Linked DNA regions of Struthio camelus. The protein of the gene in region 2 binds, or shares a complex with, the protein of the main gene of each other region. Links are inferred from orthologs where the notes say so. Each region holds a gene or a part of one and is shown on either strand. Other genes may lie near its edges.

The links.
Region 1: FAM8A1 (region 2) and UBE2J1 share a complex: the UniProt entries of both Homo sapiens proteins name them as parts of the HRD1 complex. The link is inferred for Struthio camelus from reciprocal best matches to the Homo sapiens genes FAM8A1 and UBE2J1.

The regions. Positions count from the first base shown.
Region 1 is NC_090944.1:50,095,495-50,099,404, forward strand, and holds the start of UBE2J1 (ubiquitin-conjugating enzyme E2 J1), read right to left. Parts: upstream 2,329-3,910; 5' UTR 2,302-2,328; coding exon 2,199-2,301; intron 1,529-2,198; coding exon 1,455-1,528; intron 1-1,454. UniProt on the Homo sapiens protein: Catalyzes the covalent attachment of ubiquitin to other proteins. Functions in the selective degradation of misfolded membrane proteins from the endoplasmic reticulum (ERAD) and is essential for cells to recover from ER stress.
Region 2 is NC_090943.1:99,897,940-99,901,849, reverse strand, and holds the start of FAM8A1 (protein FAM8A1), read right to left. Parts: upstream 2,692-3,910; 5' UTR 2,578-2,691; coding exon 1,938-2,577; intron 1-1,937. UniProt on the Homo sapiens protein: Plays a role in the assembly of the HRD1 complex, a complex involved in the ubiquitin-proteasome-dependent process of ER-associated degradation (ERAD).

The DNA.
Region 1 (3,910 bases), on a different chromosome or scaffold from region 2:
TGGAAAACTCAGGATCAAACAAGGGAAAGCTGGGTCTTTGCCCCAGTGAATAAGAATTTCTACAGAATTGGGAACAGAACCACCCAAAATGAGAACATGTAAAGACAGTCTCCCCTCTGAAAGCCCCTCCTATGCCCAACACAACACAGGGCTTTGACTCTGGCCCTATAGAATTCCCATTCTCTTTTGTTTCTCCATGAAGAATTCTGAAAAAGCTATCTTGCCTTACTGCATAGTAGGCATGATTTGAAATTTGGAACATTTTCATTGGACACGTAATTAACTTCTCCTTAAGTATTATTTCTTTAGGATTCTGCATTTGGCTTTCCATATCAGACCTCCTGACACCCACAACTCACAAAAAAAACCTCCTACTGTTATCATAGGAGTCCAATGAGGCCTGCTGTCAGTGAATGAGATCTCATGACTCATGCTGAATGTTAGCATCGCAGGGCTGTGACAGCCCATCTAGTTAAAAATTTTTTCAAGGACAGAGGGAACCGTCAATATTTCCAGCCTGTCTTTTTATCTGTCTCTCACTGCTCTCTTCCCAGTGAGTCACTGTTTTTACCCTGAAAAAAGACCTTCATGCAAGTTACTATTGACTGACAGTATGAATTAAACCTTGCATTTCACCTCAGGAAGAAGAGGGCGGGAAGAAAACAAGATACAGACAAAAACTGGTCAATAATAAAGTATATTTTACAGTACCGAGAAACATGCACCGTGCTCTAAGTATGCTGTGTGCTACGCATTTCTGCGAACAGTCAAATCAAATCCCAAAATTGACCATCACAAGACATTACCTTTTTAATATTCTAGCAGAATCAGAATAGGTTTCCTTTTAGACTTCTAGCCACCAGAATTTCACTGCTCTCTCAGCTCAGAAACTTAACTAACTGTTTAGAGGACCTCAAAGTAGTACCTATCTGTGGCGGAAACCAAGTGTTCTTTCTTACAAGTCAGTGCATCCATGGCAGACCTGTACTCATTTAAAGGTCTTTCATGCAGTTTTTTGCACTCAAAATAGGAAGTCCATGTAGCTCATCTAGTTTCAAGTGTTTTGTTGAGCAACTCAGTAACTGAACCAGATATCAAGTTGAGCTTTACACGCCCAAAACTAAAACATAATATATTTATGTAGACTCAGAGCCTCAGGAGGGTGAGAATAAACACATTACACCCATGTGATGCAACTGCTCAGGTGCAATGTAAAACCATTACTATCACGTACTCTCATTAAGAACCTGGTTCCATAATACCATTAGATGTGGAATTCTACCACTGATTTCCATCTTAGGAAAAAATGCCAAAAGAATGGAATTAATTTTAAGAAGGTGTATTAATATCTAAAAATACAAACAAGTTTTTAATATATATGCACACAGAGAACTTAGAGTATATATATTACACAGGCTAATGACAAGCTCCTGCAAACATACGGAGAAACAAACCTCCAAAGGTTGTGCATGGTAATGATCTGTAGGATCCTTCAATTCTGCAGCTTCTTTCATTAAACGTTTGACAGCTGGAAAAACAGAAAAATGGGGACAGGAAAATAAAGAAAGAAATTACTTATACATACTGCATAAAAAATAACAAGCATTTCTTGAAGGGCTCCTTTCCGCTAACTCATCTTTTTCAGCACATCACACCTTCTTCACATGAGTTAATAATCCAAAACAAGATAAATTACTCACGCCGAATAATGATTTAAATGAGCCATACAAACACAAAGTTATGGAAAATATGTTCCATGGTTAGACTTTCTCAAAAGAATGCCTCAACACTGAGATTAAAATGATGTTAGATTATTAATGGCACCAATGATATGAGGAAAACCATAAATGTCATTAACAGAGTTTCAGTGTTTTAATACAAGATGTACAAGACCTACCCACCCTAACATTTGATCATCCTGAGTATCTCTGAACAACTGCTGAAAAGCTTTACCCTGACACCTCATGGCAGTGTTACATGACTACTCCCTTACTTATCCAAAGGGGTTAAAATAAGACTTGAGAAAAACTGGTATATTGGGAAGTGCAGGGAGATGCCGTATGCTTTATACTAGACTATTTGAAAACACATATGCCCAGTCAGAAGAATTTACCTAGGCCTTTGCATTTCAAACGAGCTAGTGAATGTGGACACACAGGTGTTCATCCTCCTTAAAATTCAGGATGGGCTGTAGTTACCTCTGCAGTTGTCTTCCATTTCAGAACATGCAGTATTCTCCGTATTTTCTGCATCTCCTTTCTCCTTCCCCTTCAGGAAATTTTGTTCCATCACTTGTCCCATCACTTTGCTCCGTGCACATCGTGCACTAACTCCTAATAAAAAGTCAGCTACACTGAAAAGAGGATTAAACCTAAGAATCACAGACAAGAAATCCAAGGATGCCACCTCAAGAATGAAGTTAGGTAGAAAGTCTTTACTCTCGCCTGCTTGCTGGGAAAAGTGAAATAAAATACTTGTGAAAGTCCCACTCACATAATTGCCTAACTGTGAAGAAGGAGAAACACCATCCAAATTCCCTTTCACAATAGCTTAATGGTAATCCTGAAAGTGAAACATAATTCCTCGATTTACAAAGTCTGGCATCACCATCCAACCATCACTTACGCACTTTCGAAACGCTGTGAGGGAGGCTATTCTAAATTCCATCAGAATAATTTAAATTTCTATCTACTGTGAGAAGTTCTCCTGGCTTCTTCTTCCTTTGCAGTTCTTGAAAGCTCTAACCAACAGCAAAAGTTCAAGAATTTCACCTCTTACAAACTGAAAAGCAAGCAGACTACACCCAAATTTGCTACTGCTTAATTTTCAGCTAAATTTGCTTAATTCTTGTACTGCCAGAGCAAGGTGTCAATAAAATACACTGTAGAACACATGAGATCACCTAGCAGATAGTAACATCCAGGATCCACTGAAAAATGTTTCATCTCTCATCTGCATTAAGGTTTACCCGTTCATTAGCAAGGAATAGTAAGAAAACCAGCCTGAACCAGAAACAGCTTCAGACCTGGAGCTGCTTCACAGCTCTGGATACTATCCTTTCAAAAAAAAAGAAAAAAAGAGAAAAAAAAAACAAACACCACAAGCTAACTCAGACCTGGGCGCTCCATCAAGAACAAAAGGCTAACCATGAAAAGACTGAAAACACATATAAAGAAACCTAACAAAGACAAGACAGAACAGTTCTGGATTACAATGCAGACAACTCTGTTACTAAGCTTTCCTGGACCAGGGACCAACCTAGAAAACAAATACAGTTCTCCTTTAGTAACATTGTATGCGGTTACCCTCGGTAACTGACGAAAAGCTAACTATTACAGCAAAAATAGTTTTCAAGACTGTTCTCCAGAAGACTACTGACACTCCGGGAAAGGCTTGCACCCAGCCCTTCTGACTTATTCCAAAAGGGACAGCCTTTTGGCTACTTAGATACAGGGCTGAAAGTCAGCAGCAAGAGTCAGAATTAGAAAAAATAAGAATTTGCACTAAGAGGGAACCAAGACAGCAGACAGGCGAGGAGCTCAGGCAGGAGGGCTCCTCTTAAGTAGTGTAAAGCATTCTGTTTTAGATGCTTTTGTACTTAATTAACATTGATAGCAATACTGTATATATTTTCTTAAAACACTACCTTACTGTCAAGAAGCCAGACTACAGGTATTTCATGCTAAGAAGTCAGCATAAAATATGCTGGAAGAACATGAAATATTCCGCTCTTAGAGCGTGCAATAAATATACCAAAATACATAATTTAGCTCTTGTATACCACACAGATCATTTGTCTGTCCAAAGTTTTCAATATTAAAAAGCCTAGTATGTCTTAAGAAAAAGAAGCATGTGTATTTGCATGTTGTTTAAAAATGCCAGCTAGCAAGTTGCAAGGAATAGTCTTGTC
Region 2 (3,910 bases):
CAGCATCAGAAATCCACTGTTTTGTCAGGAGTTACTATTTGTACTGGAGGGACAGCTGAATGAAACATGCATCCATCTCAGCTCAAAGTCTGACATTAACCTAGTAACAAAGATGGGTTTGCACTTAGCCAGCCAGACAGTAAAATAAGGCAGCTGAGGCTTGAACACACTTTTTGTTCCGCTGTTCCCAGAATAAGAGCAGTAATCTCCTACACTAAGGCAAGGAGGATAAATCAAGAGGGATGAGGGGAGGAAACATCTTGAAAAATGATGACTAAATCCACCAAAGGCCTGGTACTGCCCGGAGTGCTACTGATACTGAACTGACACACAGGCAGATTGAAGAGGAAGAAACAGTTTAATTCCCCTTTTGGGCATCCTAGTTAAGATCTGCAATATTAACATAAACCGTCACTTAGTTCGGTTTACGTGCACACACTGGACTGTAAACCACAGTGGCTTAGGGATGGATATAAGTCCTGTCCTACCAACTCTGCTGAGTGAGCAATCACCTGCAGCAGAAGGGAAGGAGCTGTAATCGCTTTAGCTGCTCCAGATAAATCCATATGCAATTGGGAGCCAAAGCACTGGCACAACAGTGCTTGTTTATAATTCTATCATATCACTATATCATGCAAAGAATTCCCTTTGGAAGTCTGGGTGTTGCAACAATATTTAGCACTGAGAATAGCCACATTCAGCAGAACGGAGTGTTATTCATACCCTATGTTACCTTTAGCATGTGATATTAGTTCCTGAAGAATTAGGTAAAAATCCAAGAGTTATTTCAGTCTAGATTTTGTCCACATCATCTTTTCCAGTGACTAGTAATAGCTGTTCATAAGCAATATATAAATCAGGGCATAATTTAAAAAAAATACTACTTTGTGTTACAACCATGCTGAAACAACATCTGCCTAAACCCACAACAAAGCAGCAAGTTTGGGAGCTAGATTCCCTTCCTTTTAAAATGAAGGAGAAACAGAAAATTTCTCCCCTCACATTCAGTCACTGAGCTTAGAAATAATGTTACAGATCAGTAATGCTGTAGTTTGCCCTAGAGAAAGAAAGGAGATCTGGCTTTTTTCCAAAGTCCTTTAGCAGTGTTCTGCCATTACTCAAGGTATTACCAAACATTCACGGAATGTCATCTAGGCACTCTTAGAGTTTGTCAAGAAATGTTTGTGTTCCAGTTTTTCCTTCTGATGAGATCACAGTAAAAGTTTGTTTTACTTTCGAACAAATGTAAACAGAAGCAAGGTTATTCCACTGCTAAAGCTGTCTAAGTCATAACAGATTTTTGTTTATTTCAGGTCCTGTCACTAGCATGTAAGCATATTTTAATCTCTCTACTTCAGTTTCATTTAAATGATTTTGAGCACCAAGAGTCCACTAAAACAAACAGAGAAAATTAGTTTAGCTTTCTTCATCCAAACAGACTATTTAAAAAGCTAGACACTTCATGAACAGCTATGGTCCTGTCAATACCAGAATGAGTTTTACTGCAAAAAAAAAAAAAAAATTCCTTCCTATCCATTAAAACACTTCACAAATATCAAAGTAATAAGCGGCAAATGCAAGTCAACCCTCTCAAATCTACTCACTGAATAAACTGTGGATTTACAAACTCAGTATTTCAGCTGTCACCTTTCGCATGACAGGTCCGCCGCCCACAGAAGCGCACCCCAACCTTGCAAAACCCCTCGCTTCCTCCTCGACATGCCGCCTCCAAGAGTTGCGCCGGAGGAGCCCAAAACAGCGAAGAAGGGAGAAGGTGCTGCGAGCCGTGAGCCAGCACTACCGCCGGGGATGGCGTCGCCGACCCCGGTGCGCGACCGGAGGCGGCTGAGCAGGGACGCGGCCGCCTCCCCCCAGGGCGCGGAGAGCGAGGTGCGAGGCCCGATCCCCCCCCCCTCCACCCCCGCGGCCCCTCTCACCTGCCGGCCGCGCCGCCTCGCGGGGGGCGCCGCTGGTGCCGGCGCCGACGGCGCCGCTGGAGGCAGCCCTGGGCAGGGGGGCCAACCTGCCCGCCGCTCCCTGCCAAGAGGGGGCCGCGGCGGCGCGGGGCCCCGGCCCGGCGGTGGCTGTGGGGGCTGGCGCCGGAGCGAAGACGTAGAAGGGGCTGTAGTAAGCGGCGGCTGCCCCCGGCGGAGGAGGAGGAGGAGAGAAGGAGGAGGAGGAAGGAGGCGGCGGCGGCGAGGACGCGCGGCCGGGGCCCGCGGCGTACGAGGGGCCGGCGGCGGCCAGCAGGGCGGGGAGACAGCTCTGCCAGCTGAGGTAGCCGCAGTAGGAGTCCCAGAGCCACTGGTGCACGCGCCGCGCGTACTCCGCCGCGCTCAGTGCCTTCGCCTCCCCGCCGTCGCCCCCAACGGCTGCGGAGGAGGAGCACGAGAGTGACGACGCAGCCGCGGCCTCCCCTCTCGCGCCGCTGTCGCTCCTCTCGCTGCTTCCCCCCGCCGTCGCTGCTACTGCTGCTGCCGCCGCCCCAGCTCCGGGCCGACCCGCGCCGGGCTCCGCGCCGGGCTCCGCCATCTCCTCCATCCCCTCTGACACTGAGCGTCTGCGCTCACGGCGCATGCGCGAGGGCGACGCCTCGCCTCTCCCATTCGCCGAGGCGGAGAGGGGGAGAGGGGAGAAGCGGGCACAACCTAGAAAGAGCCCCTCAGGGGCCCTCCGCGGCGAGGAGCGTACCACCCTCCAGTGGTCCCCTTTCTGCTTCTGTGCGAGGAAAGAACAAGCTTCGCTAGGAGGCAGGAAGGCTTCTCTCTCCTCCCCCTCCCCCCGCCGTGAGATGGTCTCGCCTAGTGCTGAGGCAGAGGGCGAGGGGGAGGGGAGCAAAGGAAGGGAAGGGGGCGGGGTCTCGCGCTGGGCCCAGGGCCTTTACAGCGGTTGGCGTCGCCGAGCCCTTCGGGCCGGGGCTGCCTTACGCGAGACCCGGCGGCTTAACGGCCGCGCCGCGCACCACGCACACGTAGAGCCTCTTTTTTCCCCAAGCCGCGCCGCACCGCGGGGGCTGGCCCTGCCTACGAGACAGGTTCAGCTGCGTCAGGGCAGGCGCCACCCCCTGCGGTCGCTGCCGCGCCCCTTGCCCTTGCCTTAAGGAGAGGGCTGAGGGAGATGTTCCCCTCACGCCTTCCTGCGCGGGGCGGGGAGGAGAGGAGGGAGACCTTCCCTGCCCTGAGCTCTCCTTGCCCTGCGGCGCTGCCTCGGGTTTCTTGGCTGCTGCTGACGGCAGTTTGAGCGTGTACCCTGGAAGCGCCTTTCCCGTTGCTCGCTCGTCCCGTGCTAGCAAGAGTCGTGAGTTGCCCTGTGCGAGGGGTCGCTTCCCCCTCGCCGCGGACGGGACGACGGAAGCGGCTGCCGGGGTTGCAAACCTAAAAACAAGACCCAAAGCGCGGAGGAGAAGTAATGCCATGCTACTCCAGTCCCAAGCGTAGTAGAACCTGCGCTTTCGAAAGGTCTCCCAGCAAAAACACACGTATAGGAGACGTTTAATTCTTCCTCAATATAAATACCGAGGCCTCCTCCCCCTCTTTCCCCCCCCCCCCCCAACGCCTTAGGCGGCCGCAGCGGCTTGTCGCGCCGCCCGGGGGCAGCGCGGGGAGCCGCGCTCGCCGGCGCAGCAGGGAGCTCGGCCCGCGCCCCCGCTGAGGGCGCCGCCAGCCCGTCGGCCCCCTCCGCCGTCCAAGGCTGAGCCGTTCAGGTCTGGTCAGGCGGGAAGTCCCCGTTTCACAGGCTGAAATCTGAAAGCTGTCTGCGGGCAGTGAGGTTACTTGCACTAGTGCCTTGTGCTGGAGTGTGAGAAGGGAGTCAGGATCTTCTGTGTGCGGCTTCGTTTCCACGGCCTTCCCCTCTGAAGTCAGGACAGGGATTAGCTTTGCTTGGCAAGACAGGGTGAAGGGCCAGCATG